4 linked regions of the Mus musculus genome follow. Each later gene encodes a partner of the first gene's protein in a complex. Links are inferred from orthologs where the notes say so. Each region holds a gene or a part of one and is shown in the gene's direction. Other genes may lie near its edges. The genes, in order: Dlg4, Shisa6, Cript and Htr2c.

The links.
Region 2: Dlg4 (region 1) and Shisa6 share a complex: the UniProt entries of both Homo sapiens proteins name them as parts of the postsynaptic hippocampal AMPA-type glutamate receptor (AMPAR) complex. The link is inferred for Mus musculus from reciprocal best matches to the Homo sapiens genes DLG4 and SHISA6.
Region 3: the proteins of Dlg4 (region 1) and Cript are in contact, whole or in part, in a crystal structure (PDB 5HED), measured with the Rattus norvegicus proteins. The link is inferred for Mus musculus from reciprocal best matches to the Homo sapiens genes DLG4 and CRIPT. Residues at the interface, in NP_062567.1 of Rattus norvegicus: Gly322, Leu323, Gly324, Phe325, Asn326, Ile327, Val328, Gly329, Gly330, Glu331, Asp332, Glu334, Ser339, His372, Glu373, Ala376, Leu379, Lys380, Arg399, Phe400; in NP_063972.1 of Rattus norvegicus: Lys94, Asn95, Tyr96, Lys97, Gln98, Ser100, Val101.
Region 4: the proteins of Dlg4 (region 1) and Htr2c are in contact, whole or in part, in an NMR structure (PDB 2MHO), measured with the Rattus norvegicus proteins. The link is inferred for Mus musculus from reciprocal best matches to the Homo sapiens genes DLG4 and HTR2C. Residues at the interface, in NP_062567.1 of Rattus norvegicus: Gly74, Leu75, Phe77, Ser78, Ile79, Ala80, Asn85, Pro86, His87, Ile88, Thr97, Lys98, His130, Val134, Leu137, Lys138; in NP_036897.2 of Rattus norvegicus: Val452, Val453, Ser454, Glu455, Arg456, Ile457, Ser459, Val460.

The regions. Positions count from the first base shown.
Region 1 is NC_000077.6:70,040,352-70,044,954, forward strand, and holds part of Dlg4 (disks large homolog 4 isoform 6 precursor), read left to right. Parts: intron 1-988; coding exon 989-1,165; intron 1,166-1,420; coding exon 1,421-1,457; intron 1,458-1,549; coding exon 1,550-1,577; intron 1,578-1,705; coding exon 1,706-1,753; intron 1,754-1,829; coding exon 1,830-1,931; intron 1,932-2,219; coding exon 2,220-2,392; intron 2,393-3,306; coding exon 3,307-3,416; intron 3,417-3,924; coding exon 3,925-4,016; intron 4,017-4,237; coding exon 4,238-4,344; 3' UTR 4,345-4,603. UniProt on the Homo sapiens protein: Postsynaptic scaffolding protein that plays a critical role in synaptogenesis and synaptic plasticity by providing a platform for the postsynaptic clustering of crucial synaptic proteins.
Region 2 is NC_000077.6:66,522,373-66,528,661, reverse strand, and holds the start of Shisa6 (protein shisa-6 precursor), read left to right. Parts: upstream 1-2,535; 5' UTR 2,536-2,697; coding exon 2,698-3,353; intron 3,354-4,111; coding exon of another isoform or gene 4,112-4,250; exon of another isoform or gene 4,251-6,289. UniProt on the Homo sapiens protein: Involved in maintenance of high-frequency synaptic transmission at hippocampal CA3-CA1 synapses.
Region 3 is NC_000083.6:87,023,085-87,029,563, forward strand, and holds the start of Cript (cysteine-rich PDZ-binding protein), read left to right. Parts: upstream 1-2,476; 5' UTR 2,477-2,575; coding exon 2,576-2,591; intron 2,592-4,614; coding exon 4,615-4,680; intron 4,681-6,479. Other genes in the region: Pigf (phosphatidylinositol-glycan biosynthesis class F protein), read right to left, coding at 581-808. UniProt on the Homo sapiens protein: As a component of the minor spliceosome, involved in the splicing of U12-type introns in pre-mRNAs. Involved in the cytoskeletal anchoring of DLG4 in excitatory synapses.
Region 4 is NC_000086.7:147,073,330-147,079,017, forward strand, and holds part of Htr2c (5-hydroxytryptamine receptor 2C precursor), read left to right. Parts: intron 1-2,401; coding exon 2,402-2,718; intron 2,719-5,688. UniProt on the Homo sapiens protein: G-protein coupled receptor for 5-hydroxytryptamine (serotonin).

The DNA.
Region 1 (4,603 bases):
CTCCAGCTTGGCACCCTTGTGGGAAGCCTCTGCGGAAGGACTGCAGCTCCTCTGTGCCCGCCGCCTGTCTTTCTTACTTCTTGCCCTTCCTTCCATCTCTGTGCTAGGGATTGAATCCAGGGCTCCGTACATGTTAGGCAGGCACCAAAACCACCGTTGAAAATCCACCTCAGCTCACCTCCCGACTGCTCAGTAGCATTTTCTCCCTTCTCGGGGCCTCTTTTCTCATGAGTCCCCTTCCTGTCTCTTCACAAGGCGTTGAGGTCTCGTCCCTCCCCTTCCCTGTCTCTCCCCTCCATCTGCTTTCTTTGTTCAGGTGGCTGGTCTTATCTGCCCTCTGCTATACTGGTGTCCCTGAGAGCTGTGTGGCCTGGTGGGATGCCTTCTTGGAGGTTCCAACCATTCTGGATGTTGCCTTTAGGCCATCTCCATTGGGTTGTCCACAGGCTTGTCACAGCCAACATGTCTTAGACTCAGCTTGCTGTGTTTCTCCTGGATGCCTGTGTTATGTCTTAGGGACCCACACCTAAGCGCTCCCTCTCTGTGGGAGGCTAGCAGGTGCTGGGGGTCATTTAGTTCTCACTGCATGACTCGGGGGCTTTTCTCCCCAGCCCCACTGCTTTTCTCTGCACCTTTGTTCTTTCAGAAACTTCCCAGAGCTTTTTGTCCTTAGACAGGTCTGGGATTGCTTACCGTGTGTGTGTGTGTGTGTGTGTGTGTGTGTGTGTGTGTGTGTGTGTGTGTGTGTGGGTGTGTGGGTGTGTGGGTGTGTGGGTGTGCATGTGTGTGTGTGTGCCACCCGGGAGGTTCATACTTTGCTTGCAGATCCCGTGTGTGTGTGTGTGTGTGTGTGTGTGTGTGCCACCGGGAGGTTCATACTTTGCTTGCAGATCCCTTGTCCAGAATCTGGCTGGCTCTCGGGGTGCCTGGTGAATCTTTCCTGGGGTCTTCAGCCAGGCCCTGACCCATAGTCACTTGTGTTATCCAGGGCCCTGTTTGACTACGACAAGACCAAGGACTGCGGTTTCTTGAGCCAGGCCCTGAGCTTCCACTTTGGGGATGTGCTTCATGTAATTGACGCCAGCGACGAAGAGTGGTGGCAAGCGCGGCGGGTCCACTCTGACAGTGAGACCGATGACATTGGCTTCATTCCCAGCAAACGGCGGTGAGGCTCCTGGGGCCCTGAAGCTTTCCTGATAGAGACGTCCACGTCCACATGGTCCCCCAGGGTGGGCATTCAGTAGGGACTCCTGGGAATCTGCTGGGGACCATGGCTCCCATCAGCCTCTGGGAGAGAACGTCTCCTCCGTGAGGGACATAGGGCCCAGGTGCTGCTGGAAGAAGGGGTTCCCACCTGGACCAGAGGGCCTCACTGAGCATTTCCTGACTGTCCCCCACTCTTCCTCTATGTATCCCATAGGGTCGAGCGACGAGAGTGGTCAAGGTTAAAGGCCAAGGTAGGTGGAAGGTAGATGAGGAACTTGGTGGAGAAGTGGTCGGGGTGGCCTCTAAATCCCAAGCCTACCACGAGAATTGCTTTTTCTTCTAGGACTGGGGCTCCAGCTCTGGATCACAGGGTAGGTAGAGTTAATTGGAAAGCTGTGGGATGAGCTGAACGTGGAGTTCCCCTTGGGCAAAGCAGGCAAGATGGTCTCCAGGTCACCTGCCTTGCAGAGCCCCTTGCCGATGCCCTGTCTCCTACCAGGTCGAGAAGACTCGGTTCTGAGCTATGAGACGGTGACGCAGATGGAAGGTGAGCCTCTGCCCCAGCCTCGGCCCTTCTCCCCGCATGCTTTGCTGGCTGCCTGAGCCAAACCATTTCTCCCCAGTGCACTACGCTCGCCCCATCATCATCCTTGGGCCTACCAAAGACCGTGCCAACGATGATCTTCTCTCCGAGTTCCCCGACAAGTTTGGATCCTGTGTCCCTCGTGAGTACGGGGTCCTTGGATCTCTGTGGAGTTGGAGTTGGGGGACCCAAGGAGTCTCACTTTGTCAGGGCCATGACACTGGAGTAAAGCAGGACACAGATCACCTTAGAGGAGGGCTTTTATGTCTGCAGCCAACAAGGCTGGGCCAGAGCCCGGCGGGCCCCAGGGTGGCAGTTCTGTCCCACCTTCGTCTCAGTCTCTCTGGGTACTCTGGGGGGCTGGCTGATAATAGGCTGGCATCAAGGGGTGGTGGTTAGATCTTTGTGGGGCGGGATGACTTCTTGGCAGATACGACACGTCCTAAGCGGGAATATGAGATAGACGGCCGCGATTACCACTTTGTCTCCTCCCGGGAGAAAATGGAGAAGGACATTCAGGCGCACAAGTTCATTGAGGCTGGCCAGTACAACAGCCACCTCTACGGGACCAGCGTCCAGTCTGTGCGAGAGGTAGCAGAGCAGGTAAGAGCTGGCCGGCACGTCGTCCTCTTCCTCCTGCCCGCTCCCTACCCCATGGCCTCTTCCAGCTCTCTCTAACTCTCTTTCTCTCTGTCTCTTTCCCTGCTGGGTCTGCACTCCGCTCCTCCACCTCCTTCTCCTCTCGGGCAACTCTGACCGCCTGCTCTTCTGTGGCCTGCTCCCCTTGCTTCCTGACCCCATGCCCCCCACTGCCATCTGTCCTTGTCTCTCCTGCTTCTCTCTCCTTGCCCCATTTTCCTCTCATCCCGGGGTTTTGCCTTTGGTGGCTTTGCCTTTCCCAACTTGTTCCTTTCTTTCTTCCTGACTCCCCTCTGCTCCTTCCCTTTTTAAATGGGGGGGGGTCCCCACTACCCTCTCTCCCATCCTCCTTTATCCCCCTTTCCCTAACACTCCCCACACTGCCTGTCCTCCCTCTGTGGCTCTTTTCTCCATCTGCCTCCCCTCCCTCCCATCTGTCTCTCCCATTCCTTCCATCTGTCTGTCCTCTGTCCGTCCTCCCCTCCTCCCCCCTCTATCCTAATTCTGTTATCTTCTCCCTTCACTGTCTTTGCCCGCCTGCCCGGCTCTGCCCGCTGCATCCCACCTCTACCACCCCTCTTGCCTTTGCTCCACTTTCACCTTTCGGGTCCTCTCCCCCATCTCCTACACTCTGTTTTGCCCCCTTCCTGCCCTCCTGTGCTTGGCCTTCCGTCTTTCTGTCCCCCCTCCTCCCTATTGGTCACTCTGCCTACATCCCTCTTTCTCTTCTTTTGCCTACATGTCCCTTGGCATCTGTCACTTTCCCTTTGGCCAACCTCCTGCCCCCACCTTCCTATATTCTCTGTCTCTTCCTGGCACCTCTGTCTGTCCTTCCTGCTACCTGCTGGCCCCCCTCCGCCCACCCTGCCTGCCCCCAGGGGAAGCACTGCATCCTTGATGTCTCAGCCAATGCCGTGCGGCGGCTGCAGGCGGCCCACCTGCACCCTATCGCCATCTTCATCCGTCCCCGCTCCCTGGAGAATGTGCTGTGAGTATGGTCCCAGGGGCTCCCCCTCAGCTCCCTCCACCTGTGACCCTGGGCTCTCAAGGTCCCCTACCTTGATCTGTCCTTTCAGAACCTGGGACAGCAACTCCCACAGTGTTCAAAGAGCTGCATTGAGAGTTGAGAGTCAGGGCTTGAAACAATGGGGGGGGGGCTTTCCCCCTTCTCCTGCCTTGGGTTAGGCAGGCCTACAGTTCTCAGGAGCCCCCCTGGGGCATACACAGGCTGTTGCAAACCAGAACCTCAGAGGCAACTAACTGGGAGTCAGTCTGAATTCTTTCTATGGGGCTAAAGGCTGAAAGGATGAGTTTCAGAGGTCCTGGATGGGGTGGGTTGCCGTGAGCACATCTGTAGCCCCAGAGGGTATCAGAAATGATATCGTTTGCTGTGTGCTCCAACTATGAAAGAAGTTGTAATGCAGCCTGCCAGGAAGGAGGTAAAAATGCAGAGAGGGGCCTAGCCCTCACATCTGTGTCTCTCTCCCTCTTGACAGAGAGATCAATAAGCGGATCACAGAGGAGCAAGCCCGGAAAGCCTTCGACAGGGCCACGAAGCTGGAGCAGGAGTTCACGGAGTGCTTCTCAGGTGAGAGGCCAGGCAGTCCCGTGAGCCCCGAGGACAGGGTGTGCTGAGATTTGATGGAGCTGCTCTACTGGGTGTGGCCGGTGTGGGAAGAGGGGTCTTGTCAGTGGGCTCAGGGACCCATGGCTCCTGGCTGAAGGACTAGGAGGTGCTCCGGGCTTCGGGCTCCCTGGTCACATGTCTTTGTGACCTTGGCCTCACTTGCTGCTCTGCCTGACTTGCAGCCATCGTAGAGGGCGACAGCTTTGAAGAGATCTATCACAAAGTGAAACGTGTCATCGAAGACCTCTCAGGCCCCTACATCTGGGTCCCAGCCCGAGAGAGACTCTGATTCCTGCCCTGGCTTGGCCTGGACTCACCCTGCCTCCACCACCTGGGCCCTTGGTCTGGACTGAATAGCCCAAGCCCTTCGTACCCTAGCCTTTCTTCCCACCCTTCTTATTTATTTCCTTTCTGACTGGATCGAGCCCATTGGAGGGAGGACACTCCTCTCTGCATGTATCCCTGCACCCCAGATCAGGGCCCCTAGACCCCAGGAACCTGGGGTCTGGGGGGGAGCTGGGCTCCTGGTTCCGAGCCCTTGCTCCTTA
Region 2 (6,289 bases), about 3.5 Mb from region 1:
GTCTTCTGCTCTTGCCCTGGGCAGACCTCTCAAAGGCACTTTGCCTGACCACTGTGAACTGCCTTGAGCCTGCTCTGGATGATGTAAGAATATTATCTCCATAGTAGGTATCACCTCTCACATGTCTGCCCCATAGGCTTCCTTATGTTGTGCCTGGGTACAACAGCTTCCAGACTGCTTTCTCTGTGTCCAGGTCAGTCAGTGTTCACTCTTCCAATAGACTTGAAGATGAAACAAACCTATAAATCTGATGGCATCTTCTATTCAAACCTACCAATATTTTCCCAGCCATTGTTAAACACAAATTCTTTGGCAGGAATACAGTGCCTCCTGGCTGCCCTTGTTTAGAAACCCCCCTATGGCTTTCACCATTGTGTATGCTTAGCTCACCCACCCTCTTTCTCCCAGTTTCCCTGCCTCTGCTGGAAGCATCTTTATTCTGTCTTGTTTTTCTAACTCCTAACCATTCTTCACCAGGCATTTCATTAGCACCCCAAGAACTGTATTTGACCCTCACTGCTCCCCTCGTGGGTGATGCTAGAAGCCTGTATCCTGCTCGCAGAATAGGCTGTGCCCATCTCGGTCATGACACAAACATGCCACGCAGAAGTCATTTGACTGTCTCCTCTGTAAAGGAACTCCTGAGAGAAGGGACTGTCATTCCTTATCTTAGCACTTACCAGTGTGCTTGGCAGGATTGGCACTAAAAACGATTGTTAACAGAGCCATTAAGAGACGAAGCCGAGGAAATCGGAGGAAGTGCCGAGGAAGAAGAGGAAGGAGGAGGGGATAGAGAATGAGCAGCACACGGAGAGTTTCTAGAACGGTCGGCCAGAGAAGTCCCCCTCTTCCCATCTCAGGTAAAAATGTCCCTCTGTGCCGTGGGTTCTGGGTTTCAGCTCCAATTCAGTCCATCCATTTAACACCAGACTCCCTGAATGCTGAGAGTTTGTTTGAGGCACATCGTGAGCAGGACTGAGTAGACCACTTCAGGGAAATTCTCTGTTACTATCATTCTAACAGCCTGCCTCTGTCTCCCACCAAAGTTCTCAGGACTACGGTCTGGGGCTGGCTGTTGCTCCTCTTCTCGGGTCTCCCACCTTCTCCACACAACACACAGCAAACTAAGACTCTGACTCCCCCTTGGGGTGGCCACATAGCTTAGAAAGCCAGACTCGTGGGTCTCCTTTCAGCCAGCCTGGTCTCACTCTGGTCACAAGGGACTCTCTAATCTGTCTCCTCCAGCAGCAACGACAGGAATGTAGGGCTTTCCAAAGAAATCTTTAAAACCCAGGTAGTTTTATTTATTTATTTCTTTTTATTTATTTTTTAACTCTCGTCTCAATGCTAGAAAAAAAGTTGGAGAAAGAGGGAATTCGAGGTGTCACCCAGAGCTGGAGCTATCTCACTCCTGCACGAGCGATGGAGGAGAAAGGAGCCTAAGTTCATCACACTAGGTGGCCCAACAGCCACTTGACCCCTGGCCTCAGTGTAGGAACCTGTAGCAATGGGCTTGACCTCTTATCTTGGCTGTGAACATCACCACTAGGGAGAGGCAGAGGCTTGCAGAAACCCCAACTTGCTTTCTGGTAGCGCAAAGACCAGGCTGAAGTAAAGCGGGGGAGTGAGGGAGGGTTAGAAATACTTGACCAGAGGGCTAGAAGGGCAATGTCAGAGTAGGTTTAACCCTGCCGCTGGCCGGCTCCAGAGGGCTCACTCTGGCCTTGCTCCGGGGTGAAGGTAGTGGGGGTGAGCTCCCTCTTTGCCATCTTAGTCGCTTAACTGGTGTCCCGGCGTTGGTGACGCGAAGCTTCGAGGCGGGGGGTGGGGAGGAGGGAGAGGAAGAGGCAAAGAGAAGTCCTGCCGTCCCCCAACCGGGCGCCCAGGCGTGGAAACGTGGGCGGCGGCGAGCGGCTGGCCTCCCTCCCCGCCCTCCCCGCGCGGCGCTCCCGCGTGTGCGGCTGTGTGAGTGCGTGTGTCTCCCTCTCTCCTATCGCACACGCTCCGGCACTAGTGCAGGCGGTTCCCGGCTCCGCTCACTCGCTCCGGTCGCTGCGCTCCCGCCTAGCCGCCGCCGCCGCTGCAGTCGCAGCCCGGCATGGTGAGTGACTGAGGTGCAGCCGCCGCGCACCCCGGCTGCCCGCCGGACCCCAGCCTCAGTCGGCAGCACCGTCCCCGGGCTCGGCGGCCCGGTGGCTTCCCCAGGGGTTCTCCACGCGTCCTCGGGCCACTGTCCCAGTCGGGACGCACTCCTCGAGGGCTGAGCGCTCCTTCTCCGCCCGGCTGCTCGCCGCTCTCCGCACCCCGTGACCGCTGCCCCGTCTCGTCCCGCAGGACCTGCCCGGACGGGACCACGCCGCCGCTGCCGCCGCCTCCGGGAGCCGCGCTTCGGGGCCGGCCTGAGCCGAGTCGCGCGGAGCCGCCGCTGCCGCGGGCGGGGGATGGGGCTGCCCGCTAGGCGCGCGGAGCCCGCAGGGGGAGCGCGGAGCCGGCGCGCAGCCTGAGAGCCCCGCGCAGCCCGCGCCCCGCCGCTCCGTGCGCTCCCGCCGCCGCCCGCGCCTCGATGGCGCCATCTCCCCGCCGCTGACCGGTCCGTCTCGCCTTTCCAGCCCGCCCGGCCGCCCTCGGAGCCCGGCCAGCCGCCGGGGCAGCGGCCTGCAGCCCGCGTCCGCCCGCGCCCTCCCGCCCGGCCCCGCCATGGCGCTGCGCCGCCTCCTGCTGCCGCCTCTGCTGCTGTCGCTGCTGCTGTCGCTCGCGTCCCTGCACCTGCCGCCCGGCGCAGACGCCGCCCGCGGCCGCTCCGGGAACCGGACCCTGAACGCGGGAGCCGTCGGAGGTCGGCGTGCTGGGGGCGCCCTGGCCCGAGGCGGCCGCGAACTAAACAGCACCGCCCGAGCGTCCGGCGTCCCGGAGGCGGGCAGCCGGCGGGGACAGTCCGCAGCAGCGGCAGCGGCGGCGGCGGCGGCGGCCAGCGCGACTGTTACTTACGAGACGTGCTGGGGCTACTACGACGTGAGCGGCCAGTACGACAAGGAGTTCGAGTGCAACAACAGCGAGAGCGGCTACCTGTACTGCTGCGGCACCTGCTACTATCGCTTCTGCTGCAAGAAGCGCCACGAGAAGCTGGACCAGCGCCAGTGCACCAACTACCAAAGCCCCGTATGGGTGCAGACGCCCAGCACCAAGGTAGTGTCGCCGGGGCCCGAGAACAAGTACGACCCGGAGAAGGACAAGACCAACTTCACCGTCTACATCACTTGCGGGGTGATCGCCTTCGTCATCGTGGCGGGCGTCTTCGCCAAGGTCTCCTATGACAAGGCCCACCGCCCTCCGCGAGAGATGAACATCCACAGGTGAGAGGCGCTACTGGGTGCCTGCCTTGGGTTCCCAGGCCTCGCGCCCCCCTTAACGGGCCTGGCCCTGTCCTCTTCGCGCGTACTACCTCTCCCCTTCTAAGTCACTTCCACAGTCGCTTCCTTTAGGAGCAGTAGGCTCTCCCGCATTCCGTAGGAAGCAGCTAGGTGTGCTTTTGGTTTTAGAAAGAATGGCAACACAAAGTACCAGTCTACGGAGTTCCTGATGTTCAAGGATAAGAATCTCACCAATAATCCCCAGGCTGTATTTCATGGTTCGTGGACACTTTACTATGGGCTGTACCATGCTTAGGTTTTTTGTTTTGTTTTTTTGTTTTTGAATTTATTTTAAAAACTGGCGTGCCACTTTAATATAAAGAGCAGAGCAGTGTGGGCACCTCACTGAAAAGAACAGCAAGCGGGTTAGTGTGAGCTGGGGGTGTTCCCAGGTGTTAAGTGCAGGATGGTATGGAAAGGGCAATTGCCTCTGCCTGGAAGAATGTTCCCCATTGCGTGTTGACAGAGCACAGAGGGTAGGTCTCCCAGTGGGGTGCTTGTCTTTCCTGATGAGACTGGAGGACTTCTCCCAAGGCAGACCTCCCTGAGTTCATGCTTCTGTAATGTTCAGGCCATCTTGTACTGCACACATGGTAAAGACAGTGTCTACTGTCCCCTTCCAAAATGTGTAACAGGAGTTGAAAACCTGATAGTCACAGTCCCACTCTGATTTCCTCCCACCCGTGTCTCTGGCTCCCCAGGGAGATCATTGGAAAGTCAAAGCCAAAGGGACAACAGGAGCCCAGCCTCTCCTTTCGGAACTGCACAGGCAGAGGATGCGAAATCAGCTGTGCTTCCAGCGTCCCCATGAAGATGAATGGTTGGATGTGGTTCCAATGAAAAGCCCTGCCCCAGGAAACACTTCCATTTCTGGCACACAGAGTGGGCACTGCCCTAGTTCCCAGGCCCAGCCCCCAGCCCACTGCTTGTGAGTTGACCCACCAAGGCTGGCCTGGTCCCTCCACCTTTTAGCTCATATCTGCACATTGCTTATTATCTCCGTGGCTTAAACCTCCTCCTGTCACTGCTCTGAACATTAATCACCCCTACCTTGCTGAAAAGAGGAAGGCAGGCAGAAATTTCTAGGCATGCTGGAAGAGCTGATTCTGCCTGCCTCTCCCACCCTGATCTGGTGGGTGTTGAGAGGAGATGTCAAGGACTAGACTTGGATGCACTCTAGAGGGAACATCCCTTCTTAACCCTTCATTACCTGACCTTGCCACCACAGTCTTCCTGTAGCTATTCCCAGCATGGGCTTACTCAGCATCCCTTTGAACTGGACTAGGCTTGTGAGCAACAGTCTGTGGTCTCCATGCCTTGCTATGTAGAAGATGGGCACTGTGAACAAACTAAGAGCAAGACACCACTTTTTAGGAGTTTGTTTGGTCTGGCAGTGAATTCTCGCTTGGCTCAGTTTGCAAAGCAAAGAATGGCTTAGAGGCAGGTGCCTTTCTGAAACAGATGTGCATTGTTTCTCGTGTGTTACCTCTGACCCAGGACTCGGGGACTCATCTCCTCTTTCCTGTCTCGACTCAGTAAGCCCACGTTGGCTCTCACCACTTTCTAGTTGATTCTCACGAACATCTCTTGGGGTTTCTCCCTGCCTCCTCCACTCCTCCCCTTCTCCTCCCCCATCCCCGCACTCTCCCTCCCCCTTTCTTCCTTATTCAGTTTGTTCATGACAGCCTACGTTGATAAGGTTGTAGTCTCAGAGATTAAAGTCTGAGATTGAATCCCTGTGAAAACTGGACATTGCCATGTGGTTTTGAAGAGGTTCTTGATGTTCCTCTCTTCTTCCCCACATAGTGTCTCTGTCCCACATGGAGGGGGCAGTTTCTAGGGTTGGGAGAAGGAGAGAGTGAACCCTGGGGGAAAGAGCTGAATTTCAGGCCTCAGATCATTATGGAAATAGGCAATGTTTCTCCCTCAAATTCACCCCCTGATTTCATTCAGTTCACAGCACCTCTCCAGCAGCTGCAGCCTCGCCTGGTGGGTGCTACGGAAACCATCACTCTGGTACTGGGTGTGTAGGGGACAATACTTATCAGTGTTTGTGAGCAGGTGGGGGCTGGGGATAGGAGGACACCAGGAGTGACCTTGAGTAGGTTAGGGAACTTCGTTTTTTAGTTCTGGCAAGACAGCATATCACCCGGACGTCTTCCTTCCAAGTGTGTCAGGATGCGTGCCCACATCGCTCTCACATGCTCCTCTGGGCAGGAGCGGGAGGGGGCTCATCTTCTTCTGCTTAGACCTCAGAAGTCACTGCTTACCCCACCCAGGTGGGGTTGGGGGCTGTGTAGTCTGTGTTGTTAGAGAGGCAAGGTTGTAGGAGATATGTATTCACAGTAATGAGTTTTTCCTAGGGAAAGTGGGGAGAAACAAGAATGGTCATGGTCAGAGGTCAGGTAGGGAGATAGGATGTGCTTCAGTTTCCTGCTCTTTTGAAGTAGTGCAGCCGAGATGTGATGTGTCTTTACTGCAAGGGAGAGCAGAGCTGCTGCAGTGTGTGAGCCTCCCTGATGATAGACAGACTTGGGCCCTTCCTGCCCTGGGGCAAGTGGTCCTGTGTCTGAGGGAGTTTCAGTGAGGAAAGCCTCACTGCAAAGGGATATTGTGGGAGTTTGAGAAAAGATGGAAGAGAGATAGGCCATCTGCTCTGCCTTGGTGCTCGCAGGCTGGGCAGCCCTCTGCTTGCCATACGCATGTGTATTCCTCATGGCTCTTGCATCTCTCCCTCCCTTGCAGGGAAGAACAGATTTTGCTTTTTTTCAAGAAGTGATTAGCCCTCCCTAGCGTGTTTCTGAGTGAGAAGTCAGTGTCTGGAGTAGAGATAGCCAGCTCTCTGGGGAATTCTAGCAGCGAGCACACCCATATCCAGC
Region 3 (6,479 bases), on another chromosome or scaffold:
AATATGTATTTTAAAAATATAAATGGCTTAGGCGACGGTTTAGTCAGTAAGCAACAAGGACCTGAATCGATTCCCGGAACCCACCGTAAAATGTCAGGTATGGGGCTTGCTTGTCCCCACACTGGGGAGACAGAGGCTCTCTGGAGAGCCACTCTGGCCTAAGTGATAAGCTCCACACCATTAAATGTCCTGGACAGGGCAGGCGGACAGGGTTTCTAAAGATAACACTTCAAGTTGTCCTCCAGCCCCCAAATGCATTTGCCCACCCACATACCTAAAAAAATGTACAAAAGTAAATGAAAATAAACTGCAGTGTCTTGTAAGTTATCTTCCGTGATAAAACCATGCTTATATAGGTCATTCACATTGTGATGCATTGAAGGAGTCATAATTCCACAATGAATGCACAGCAAGAATCTATCAAACACTGTAGGAAGGTAACAGGCTACTGCTCTGGTGGGGGCGGGGGAGACTTGGTTCCCTTTACACTGTAAATCACTCAATAAGGACGAAGCGAAACTTCCTTCTTACACTGTAACCTCCACCCTAAAGCCAGTGAAGCAACAGAAGTGACCCTTACCTTATGTGACAATGAACTTCTTTTAGAGGACACATTCGGTTTCACTACTAAGTACGACAAGAGATTGACAGTGGTCACAGAAGCAGAGCAGATACACAGCCAGGTCAAATGAGCTTCCAATACTGAGAAGTTGTCCACGAAGAAGGACGGAATGAAAATGCTTAGGAAAATTGAAAATACGCACAAAAGATTGGTATACAGAAGTCTCTTGATGTCAGTATCTTTCATGATGTTTTCTTGGGTAGCTATCTAGTAGAAAACAAATTAAGAAAAACATGTAATGATTTTTTTTCCATTGTCCCAAGCACTTCAATACTCTAAATATAAACCATGTATTAATAATTTTCTATGGGCAACATATTTGTTTCAAAACACAGAACAAGCATATGCAGATTTTAATTGTTACTTTAGATTTCTCTAATATGGTATACATTATCTTTCAGAGCCTCAAAAAGAAAATTCCTGTAAAAATTTAAATATTTGTGACTGGTTTCTACAAAGGGGACATGTGCCAGACACCAGCAACTAATTTTACTTTTTTGGCGAAAATCACTGCAGTTCCCAAATGACAGCCAAGTATACACTTAGATATGCAAATGGTGGAGGACCATCTTAAGATGGTCATTATGCTACACTAAGGGCTCACACTGTCTGTACAGATGTTAAATAATGGTAATAGCAGAACGCGAGTGGGAGGAGAAACAATAGTTTCCAGTCTCTAAATACATATATTTGACCTAGAGAACAGTTTCTATGTTATACTGACTAAAGTTAATTAAGAACTTAAAAGTAACACATGTTACAATGTAGTAAAAATCGGGCCCAAAAAGTAACATCCACACCGCAGGGTGAGGAACTAGCAGGAAAGGTAAAAGCGCAAGTCTGGGCATGGTGCTATTAGCCCTCATTTCATTCACACTTATCGTTTTCAAAAGCAAATGATACTGATTAAGAAAACTGGATGAACAAGTTAGCAGATACGGCCAAGGTTACACACGCACAAGCCATTTCAAGCATCGCCTCTTTAAACAAGAAGAAATCCTCCAGGGTCGGGACAAGAACGCATAGCCGTGAAAAGACTTGGGGAAAGTTTCTCAGATTCTCCCTTCCACTGCGGGGTCAGGCAGGAAGCGCGATCAGAAATCCATCCTAGGCCACCGGCAAACACCCATCTAACACGGCGAGCGCGAGCGGTACCCAAACGCAAAGGTGACACCGGCGAGCGAGTCCCCGACCCAGGACACCACACCTGGGAAGCCGCCCTCGGGACTCGCGATCCCGTGAGAACGGGGTCGGAAGGCTTGGCTGCTCCCGAGCCCTCCTCCTGAGCAGCCTTTGCTCAGGTGCGGACCGCAGCTCCACCCCACCCAGGTGGCTCCGTCCCAGCCTCGGACGGCGCAGTGTGGGCAACTGGAGGTCGCCATCATAGAGAGAGCCCGTGCGGCCGACCCGGTGACCTGAGGTCGGAGTCCCCTGAGAGACTGTGATAGACGCCGGCATCTCAGAGGGTCGGTAGCGCAGGGCATCCTCTGGTCCGCCGGAAGCGTGGCGCCCTGGAAGTCACCGCAGCGGTCGGCGGTGCGACCTGCACCCGCCCCGGGCGAGTGTGAGAAGCAACCCGCCACCGGCTTACCTAACTCTCCCGCCCGCCGAAGGGAAGGGGGACACCACCGCCTCCCACCCTCAGGTGCTACAGGCTGGCATGGCCCCTGGCGCAGGCGCAGACCAGAAAGCGAGGGGGCGGGGGGAACTCACAAGCGCACAGCCAATCGTTGACGAGAAGGGGCGGGATAATGAGAGCAGCCCCGCCCATCAGCTCGCGTTTATCCCTCCCGCGACTTTCTAGGTACGGGATAGGCCGGAGCGGGAGGGCTGAGAGTCCGGAAGCGGGCTGACGTAGCCGGAAGAGGAAGTCGTCTCCGCTGGGGCGTTGTTGTGTTTGGGTTGCTGCTCCTGCTTTGCCGGCTGAGGGCACAGGGACACCCCCATGTAAGGATGGTGTGTGAAAAGTGTAAGTTCAGGGGCTGCTTCTGGGGGAGGTGGAGGGCTGAGAAGTTCTCTCGGGATTTCTCTGGTTTTCCCCTGCTGGTCTGTGGCGTAACCGGTGTCTTCCTACCCTGCCCCTCGGCCCTTCTTGCCTGTCCCGTAAGCATAGCCTTCCGCTCTGTGTTGAGAATGGCTTCAGTTCTGCGCCTCTTGTGTTTGTTTCTGTTGTCGTCCTCGCGCCCCTTCTGGGTCTCCTCCGTTACAACTTCTTGATTGGCTCTCGGAGGCTTAAATCGGATCTTCACGATCTTTCTGGTAGCATCAAGAGTTGACAGATGTCACAAGTATAAGTTCCAGGCTCTCGGTTACATCTTAAGATTATAAGCAATGGTTAATTTCCAGTATTATTAATATGTCCCGAATAATGTTTAAATCTTGACTTTCTGCTTTTCCTTACTACAAAACATGCCGCATTTAATACAGATTTTATTTATTTATTTATTTATTTTTGGTTTTTCGAGACAGGGTTTCTCTGTGTAGCCCTGGCTGTCCTGGAACTCACTCTGTAAACCAGGCTGGCCTCGAACTCAGAAATCCGCCTGCCTCTGCCTCCCCAGTGCTGGGATTAAAGGCGTGCACCACCACCGCCCGGCTAGATTTTATTTTAAAAATTACTTCAGTGGCTATCTGAAATTAAGTTAAATTGGATATTTTGAGCCATCCCGTCAATTCATTAATACTCACAGCTTTGGGTCAGGTGAAGGAGAGAGTCTCATCACCACCAAAGAAATCTTTAAGTAGTCACCCCTGGCTTTTAGAAAGGTCTTTTTAACCCTTTTAGTTACCATTCAGTAATTCCAATGAAACCCTTAAGATTTGTTGTAAATATTTAATTTTTTTTTTTTTGGTAGCTGCAAAAGCTGATGATTCGTTTAAAAACAACTTTCTTCTCTTGATCTCTTTCATGGGCTAGACAGCCTTCTCTGACAAGATTCAACCCACATCTCAGTTACTGGCGGATATACAGGACCCATTTTGTTCATAGCCCCTCAGTATGTAGAACTCTGGACACAGACACCCCTCCAGAGCTGTGCCATTCTTAAACGGTTTTTTATTCTTTTCGAAAGTGGGATAAATGGTTAATTAAATGTGGCTTAAATGTATTTAGATTGTGAAGCCGTCCTTTGTGCTGTGCCCTGAAAGGTCATTTCCTCTGCTCTTCTGAGAAATCTAAGGTCTTATTATCTGTAGCCTCTCAGTCTGTCTGCTCATTGCATGCACCCCGTAAGTAAACTGAGGTACTTGCATACAGAAGCTGTAATGTCAGCAGCCGCCTCAGTTCAGTCTTCCCTTGTATCACACATTATTCGAGAAAGTTACTTTTCTCCAATTTTTTAGAGTTACCTCTTAGAACTTGGCACGTACGTGTTCTCCAGTTGTGCATTTACTGAGTTCCAGGGAGTTTGGTTTCAGTGTGCTTTCTTTTCCTTGTTCTGTTAGGTGTTTGAGGACTGTTTGGCCTCAGCTGGCACATCCATACCACTGAGCATCCAGTGCTCTTCTCCACCCTGAACAGTGCCCTACTTAAACAGTACTAAGTAACTGTCCATTTGGAGCATATAAATACAATATATTTATCATTTTAAATTGCTTTGTTTTCATCAGAACCTTGCATGGTGCTTTGTACAGACTAGGTGATTAGAGAATGTGAGAGAGAGGAATGAATAAGTTTGTCAGAACTGCTTAAAGTATAATCAGTTAAAGCCTGTTACTAGAGCATCGTTTTGTCCTGTAAGTTTTATTTAGAACCAGTATCTGTTGCCCACTGTTACTATCTTAAGTTTTCATTCATTGGTTTCTACCCTGGCATTAGTAGGTTCCTCCTATAATCTGACTTCATATCGTTATGTACTTTAGGCGATACAATATATTTATCATTTTAAATTATTATTGTAAAGTTAGCAAAGAAATGGGTTTTGTTATTTTATTTCCACACAGTTTGCTTATTAGATGACAGCTGTTCTCTTTTGCTGTCTTGGCGACCACAGGTGAAAAGAAACTCGGCAGAGTTATCACTCCAGACACATGGAAAGATGGTGCCCGGAACACCACAGGTACTGTTTGCTGTTAGGAGACAGGAGCTGGGTCAAGCGCTGTGGCCCTGCTCTGGTGCGTCACATTTTGCACAGTGCAGTGTTAGATGCTGATTACCTTGCCCAGTAAACACCGAGGGCTCGGTTCTCCTGGGAGTGCACATCTTTCTTCATCATCTGAGTTACATGTACGGATTCCTCATATAGTCAAGAAGTAGTAAAATTATTATTTCAATGTATGTCTATTTGATTCAGATTGGTAAAGTCTGTGTTTACATTTCCTTCCCACATCTAAGTTTTACATTCTCAAACAAATTTAGACTGCCTTACTTTTTTTTTTTATTAAACGCATACAGCAAAGCCCAGTGCAGTGATGCATGCCTTTAATCCCAGTACTTGAGAGGCAGAGGCAAGCGGATTTCTGAGTTCGAGGCCAGCCTGGTCTATCTACAAAGTGAGTTCCAGGACAGCCAGGGCTATACAGAGAAGCCCTGTCTCGAAAAACAAAAACAAAACAAAACAAACAAACAAACAAAAAAAAACCAAAGTAGACAGATGTTACACATACAAAAAGAGTGTAGGCATTGTCAAAGCACTACTTTAAGACTGAACAATAAAGCAATTATACAGTGTTCATTAAAAACTGGGCTATTATATGAAGATTTTTAAAAATTACAATAAGGGTCTGTGATGGTTTGTATATTCTTGTACCAGGGAGGTGTGGCCTGGTTGGAGTAGGTGTGTCACTGTGGATGTGGCCTTAAGATCCTCACCCTAGTTGCCTGGAAGTCAGTCTTCCACTAGCAGCCTTTGGATGAAGAGGTAGGACTCTAAGCTCTGCCTGCACCAATACCTCCCTGGAAACTGCCATGCTCCCACCTTGATGATAATGGACTGAACCTCTGAACCTGTAAGCCAGCGCCAATTAAATGTTTGTTTTTTTTTTGTTTTGTTTTTTTGGTTTTTTTTTTGTAAGACTTGCCTTGGTCATGGTGTCTGTTCACAGCAGTAAAACCCTAACTAAGACAGAAGTTGGTACCAGGAGTGGGGTATTGCTGTGATAGGCCTGACCATGCTTTTATTTGAAAGAATGTGGATTTTTGGACTTTGGATTTGGAACTCAGTGGAATGCTTTAAATGGGGCTTAGTGGGTCATCCTAGTAGGAATCTGGAAGACTTTGTTGCTGGGAGTAACTGTGTTGACCTGGCCCAAGAGATTTCAAAGGAGAAGAATTTCAGTATGTGGCATAAAGACTGTTTTTGTGGTATTTTGGTGAAGAATGTGGCTACTTTTTGCCCTTGTCTGAAAAGTCTGCCTGAGGCTAAGGTGAAGAGACTCAGATTAATTGCATTGACAAAGGAAGTTCCAAAAAAGCCCAGCAGAGACTTTGTTCTCTGGTTAAGTCTCATAAAGAGAAGTTTGAACAAGCATAGCAAGCTTAGAAAGGAAAAATATAAAATATATGGTTCGAGTATTAAAGGCATACTAGGAAGTGAAATAGAGCAAAAACCTGTGTTCTAGGAAATAACAGATTAAGGGAGTGGGACCTTGGGGCAAGATCCTACCAGCTAAATTTAGATCCAGGCCTGGTGGTACATACCTTTAATCCCATGAGACAGGCATGCTGATCTCTGCGTTCAAGGTCAATCTACAGAGCAAGATCCAGGATAGCCAAGCTTAGGCAGTGAAGGATTTGGAAAACATAAAGCCAGTGATAATGTAATAGTACAAGCGGGTCATGTTCTAGTTCCTGCAAGCAACAGAACTTGGCAGCTTCAGCCATGTGGCTCTGGCTCTAGAGTTAAGAATGGAAGGAACT
Region 4 (5,688 bases), on another chromosome or scaffold:
TCACAAATGATGTTTTCAAACAGAAAAAAATTTAATTATTTTATTTATTTACATTTCAGGCATAACACCCCTCCTGTCCTCCCTCCCACAGTTCCTCATCCCATTTCTCCTCCCCCTTGCCTCTGAGAGGGTGCTCTCCCCTCCAAACTCTCCCCTTCCCTGGGGCCTCAAGTCTCCCAAGAATTAAGAGCATCTTCTCCCCTGAGGACAGACCAGTCAGACTTCTGCTCCATATGTGCCAGGGCCCTCAGACCAGCTGCTTTATGTTAACTGGCTGGTGGCTCAGTCACTGAGAGCTTCCTGGGATCTCAGTTGGTTGAGACTGCTGGTCTTCCCACGGGTAGTTTTCCCTTTCAGCTTCTTCAGTCCTTCCCCTAATTCAGCCACAGGGGTCCCCGACTTAAGGCCAATGGTTGGGTGTAAGTATCTGTATGTGTCAGCCACCGGCTATTAGGATCTCTTGGAGGGCAGCCATGCTAGGCTCCTGTCTGTAAGTACATCATAGCATCAGTAATAGTGTCAGGCTTTAGTGACCTCCCATGAGATGGATCCCAAGCTGGGCCAGTCATTAGACCTCCTTTCCCTCAGTCTCTTCTCTATTTTCATCCCTATAATTATTTTAGACTAGAACAATCCTTGGTTAGAAATTTTAACTGTGGGATGGCAATCCAGTTCCTACACTTGAGGCCCTGTCTATTTACTGTAGGTGGACTCTTCGAGTTCCCACTTCCCAATGTTGAGCATTTTGGCTAAGGTCACCCCAATTGAGTCCTAAGAGTCTCTTGACTCTTGGGTCTCTAGAATTTTCTAGAGAGCCCACTCACCTCCCATCCTCCTGAGGCAGTGTAGTTCCATTCTTTCTCTTGGCCCTCTGGGCTTCTCTCCTGTCCCCCCATACCTGATCCTGTTTCCCTTTTCCCCTTCCCATCCCCTCTCCTATCCAGGTCCTTCTCTTCCGCTGCCCCCCCCCCCATATTATTTTATTCCCTCTTCTAGGAGGGAGGAAATTTTGAACATAATTGTTGTCTTATTTTTCTCATGGAAGATACATTTGTTGGTTTTGTTGGACACACCTTAGGAGCTCACATCTTTAGCAAATATTTGTGTTTTCAATGTAAATAAATCTCATCACTATGAGAGAAATTAATTTGAAATTAACAGAAGTGAAATAGAAACATCTCCCTTGTCTTATATCGCCACCTAACCTGAAATTCTTACTGGTAAAATATAAGGACCAATGTAAAAATATGTATTTAAAATAATTTAAGAGATTTAATACCTAACTCTACCTCTACCCTAAATGGGAATCAATCATTTACACACATTACTCTTAAGCCTAGAATTAAGTCCTAGAAAACCAAGGACACAAATGAGGTAGGCAGTAGGGAGCATTAAAGTTTAAGACACGAGGCAAGAAGCAGACAACCATTAGAAACTCACTTTGCAAGCACGAGAACCTGGAAATACTCCTAAAAAGAAATGAGTGTGCATTGCTGTCACAGCAGCTTTCAAAACAAATCATAAACTGTTCTGATAAAGTCTTATGCTTTCTTTTAAATTTAGAACAACACAATTCAACTTCCAAGTATCTTGTCTGGCCACTGGCTCCTTTAAGGAATTTTCCCATGATTTCTGTCACAGCTGTCTTAAAGAAATTCATATTTTAAAAATATAAAGAATAAAACATTAAGTCTGTCTCTGAAAGACAGATGTCACATTTTTTCTCTCATTTGTAGAGCCTTGACTTCATAGATACACTTAATCATGTATGACAGATGACATGAAGATAAAAGCAAAACTCTCTCAGGAACAAAGACATCTAAGAAGGGTGAGGGAATCTATTGAGTTGGAGGAAGACATATTAAAAGTACTTTCTATACTTACATGAAAATGGTCTTTTGTAATACAACATAATAAAATAAAATAAAAATCTAAAAGAAAATATAAATTATCACACTAAGTCAAATAATACTGTATTTTGAAATAGCAGTAATATTTAATATTTTAATATGGTCTGAACCTAGACCATATGATGGCCCCTGGTCCTGTCATTTACTTGGCTACATTGGCTGGGGAAAGTGGCAAAACCCTTTTTTTAACTTCATTGTTTTTTTCAGCTGCATAATGAGAACAAATCATTACTGATCTCCTGTGGGATATATATATGTGTGTGTGTGTGTGTGTGTGTGTGTGTGTGTGTGTGTGTGTGTGTGTGTAAACTAAGTGTCTACCTTATAGCAGTCACTCAGTAAAAGATAATGATAAAAATGGGAAATGAGGAGGATGGAGGTGGTCATGGTCATAGTAGTGGGAGGGGGCTACAAGCTATTGTATAGTATATATGATATATTGTGAGTAAAGGGAGCCTAATTTTCCTTTCTCTTTTCTTTTTAATTTTCAGTGTGCACCTAATTGGCCTATTGGTTTGGCAGTTCGATATTTCCATAAGTCCAGTAGCAGCTATAGTAACTGACACTTTTAATTCCTCCGATGGTGGACGCTTGTTTCAATTCCCGGACGGGGTACAAAACTGGCCAGCACTTTCAATAGTCGTGATTATAATCATGACAATAGGGGGCAACATTCTCGTTATCATGGCAGTAAGCATGGAGAAGAAACTGCACAATGCTACCAATTATTTCTTAATGTCCCTAGCCATTGCTGATATGCTGGTGGGACTACTTGTCATGCCCCTGTCTCTGCTTGCAATTCTTTATGGTGAGTACACTTTTACTCATTTCTCACTCTCATAGTTTTGTAATAATCATCAGGATATAATTTATACAGTTAATAATTTATCTAAAGAATTTGAAAAAAATATAGAATAAAACAAAATGTGAGCAAGAAAAAATGATTGGATATGTTGAGATTTATGAAATAAAACTTTGGCAGAGTTTTCAAAAGTTAAAACACCTATTTTATAATATATTGAAATTATCCATAAATACTTTATTTGCAGGTGTCATATATAAACAATAAATAACCATACAAAATGGGATAGTGGCAAAATGGCACCCTGACCTGTATTTGGGCTAGCATATTTATTGTCAGTGCCATCTCTAATACACAAAAGGAAAGCAAAATTTGTCTTCTATAATGATTTTATTTTAAGAAATGTTTCTGAGTAACAGATATTGAACCCAGGGCCTAATTTACTCTAGGCAAGCACGCAATCACTGCTATACCCACAGCATATGTAATCTTTTATGTTGACAAACTAAATAGTTGGTACAAATTATGCACTTAATAGGCATTGCTCTTCTTTTTCATGCAGTTTATAAGTCATGGTTTTATAAGGAGACGAGGTATAAAAATTAATTTCTGAGCACATAAATGTAAGTTCATATCACAACTATCACAAAACTCAGCTTCAATGATTTTCAAGAGGCTTTAATTTTTTCTTTGATTTTCTGCCATCTCTTTGCTTTATTCATTTTAATCTACGTTTTGGTTTTGGTTTTGGCTAGTACTCATGATTTTAGAAAAATCAAAATCACATTAAAATCCTGGTCAAGAATACTAAATTGTCTTCCAGAGGACCTGAGTTCAATGTCCAGCACCTACATGGCAGTTGACAAGTATTTTTTACTGCAGTCCCAGGAGATCTGATGCTCTCTTTTGACCTCTGCAAAAGACAGAGGTCTTTTGACCTAGACAGTAGAACATGAATGTGGTGCAGACATACATACAAGCTAAATACTCATATACACACAAAATTAAAAGAAAAACTTCAAATGTTTTAAAATATTAATAAAAAATAAAATCAATGAATCAAAGCTCATGTGAACTTCCTGCCTCAGACTCCCAAGTAGCTGTTGCCTCCAGTATATATCACCACTGTATTTGTCTTTCAATAAGTACCACAACTACAAAATTTGAAAATCAAGTTCAAAGTTAATTGCTAATATGTGGAAGTCCCAGTTTAACTTTAATTGTTAACATACTCATCTTCCTGTAGAGGAAAAGAGAGAACAAGAACTTGTCCAACAAGTTCTCCAAATGCATAATGGAATTGGACAATGAAAATATTACTAAAATAGTATCTAGTCTAAAAATCTGAAAAGAAGAACAATGTGTCTTGAAAAAGATCTCTTGTGACACTTAAAACTTAGCCACTCCCAAATCTTCAGTGGCAGTACCTAATTTTATCATCTCTAAATGCCTTATAGATAAGGCACTCTTAGAAGCTACAGTTTTCCTATTCCACTGAGTTTCAGTGACATGTTTATCTCAAAGCATCTGTATCACACTGCTTATTTGGCTTTTTACTTCTCCAGTATTAGTGAAGACAAGGTCACAGAAACATAGTGAAACAGCCACTTCAAAGGTACTGTTTCCACCGTGAGCTCCCCACTGCATGCCTTTTTGGGGTAGATCAAAGGCAGGCTACAAAAAAATGTTATAAGGAGGCCACAGGGAGTTTAGAGGTCAGGTGGGTTGGGGGTGGGGGCATCCACGTGGAGACAGAGGGGGTGGGGAGGAGTTGTGGGATGTGGAGCTGTCAGAGGATGGATGGGGGGCAGGGAATGGAATATGAAGTATAAAAAATAAATTATTTTTTTAAAAAGTGTAACAAAAAAAATTTTTAAAAGAACATTATGAAGACCCCGGAGGTTGATCTAAAAAACTCCATTACAAAGTAGACCGAAAATTTCCCAAGATTACCTTCAAGTCACAGACTGAAAAGTCTGCACAAATCTCAAGAAAAAGTAACTTCCTGGAGGTAGAACAGAGTGAAAAGGAAAAATAAACAAGAGAGGCAGAATTGACATTCGAAGAAAGGGGAGGAGGACAGTGAAATGGTGAAGAGATTAAAACATATTTTATATGACAGAAATGTCACATAAAAACACCATTAACTCTCCCCATATTGCCTTCCACTCTTCACATAAAGCCCTTGAAAGAAACCATGCTTCTTATGTATCAAAAGATGGCCTAGTCGGCCATCACTGGAAAGAGAGGCCCATTGGACATGCAAACTTTATATGCCCCAGTACAGGGGAACGCCAGGGCCAAAAAGGGAGAGTGGATGGGTAGGGGAGTGGGGGTGGGTGGGTATGGGGGACTTTTGGTATAGCATTGGAAATGTAAATGAGCTAAATACCTAATAAAAAATGGGAAAAAAAAGAAACCATGCTTCTATATCTGCGAAGATGTTCTTGAGCTTAAAACATTAGCAATCAGCAGCAAAGATGCAAATATTCCTCAACCGTGTCAGTACTATAGACTAAATCACAATTGAAGACATTTCCTGGAAACTTCATCAAGATACTTCAGACCCAGAAAGAAATATCATGAATTTCCTATCATATGAAGACTCTAGAGTTATTAATACGACAAACAAATGATAGGAAAATATAATGAAATCTATTTGAGAAGAGGATGAATAAAATTTTCTTACAGCAAATCTAGAGAACCACAAAGAAACCCAACAAATATAAAAAAGAAAGGTAAAAAAAAATTCAAAGGTAGATAGCAGGAGTAATTGATTGGATAAAGAAGAGAAAGAAGAAATATAGTCAGTTCAGAAAGAAGTTTTTTTATCTGTCTTTTAAAATATATTTTTTAAATGGAAAGTTTTAGCTAGTTTAAACATGGAAAAAGAGAGATTATATATACAGAAAGAGGGTATAGCATTGAAGAAATAACCAAAAATTAATAATTTTTCAGATCTTGAGATTATTTTGT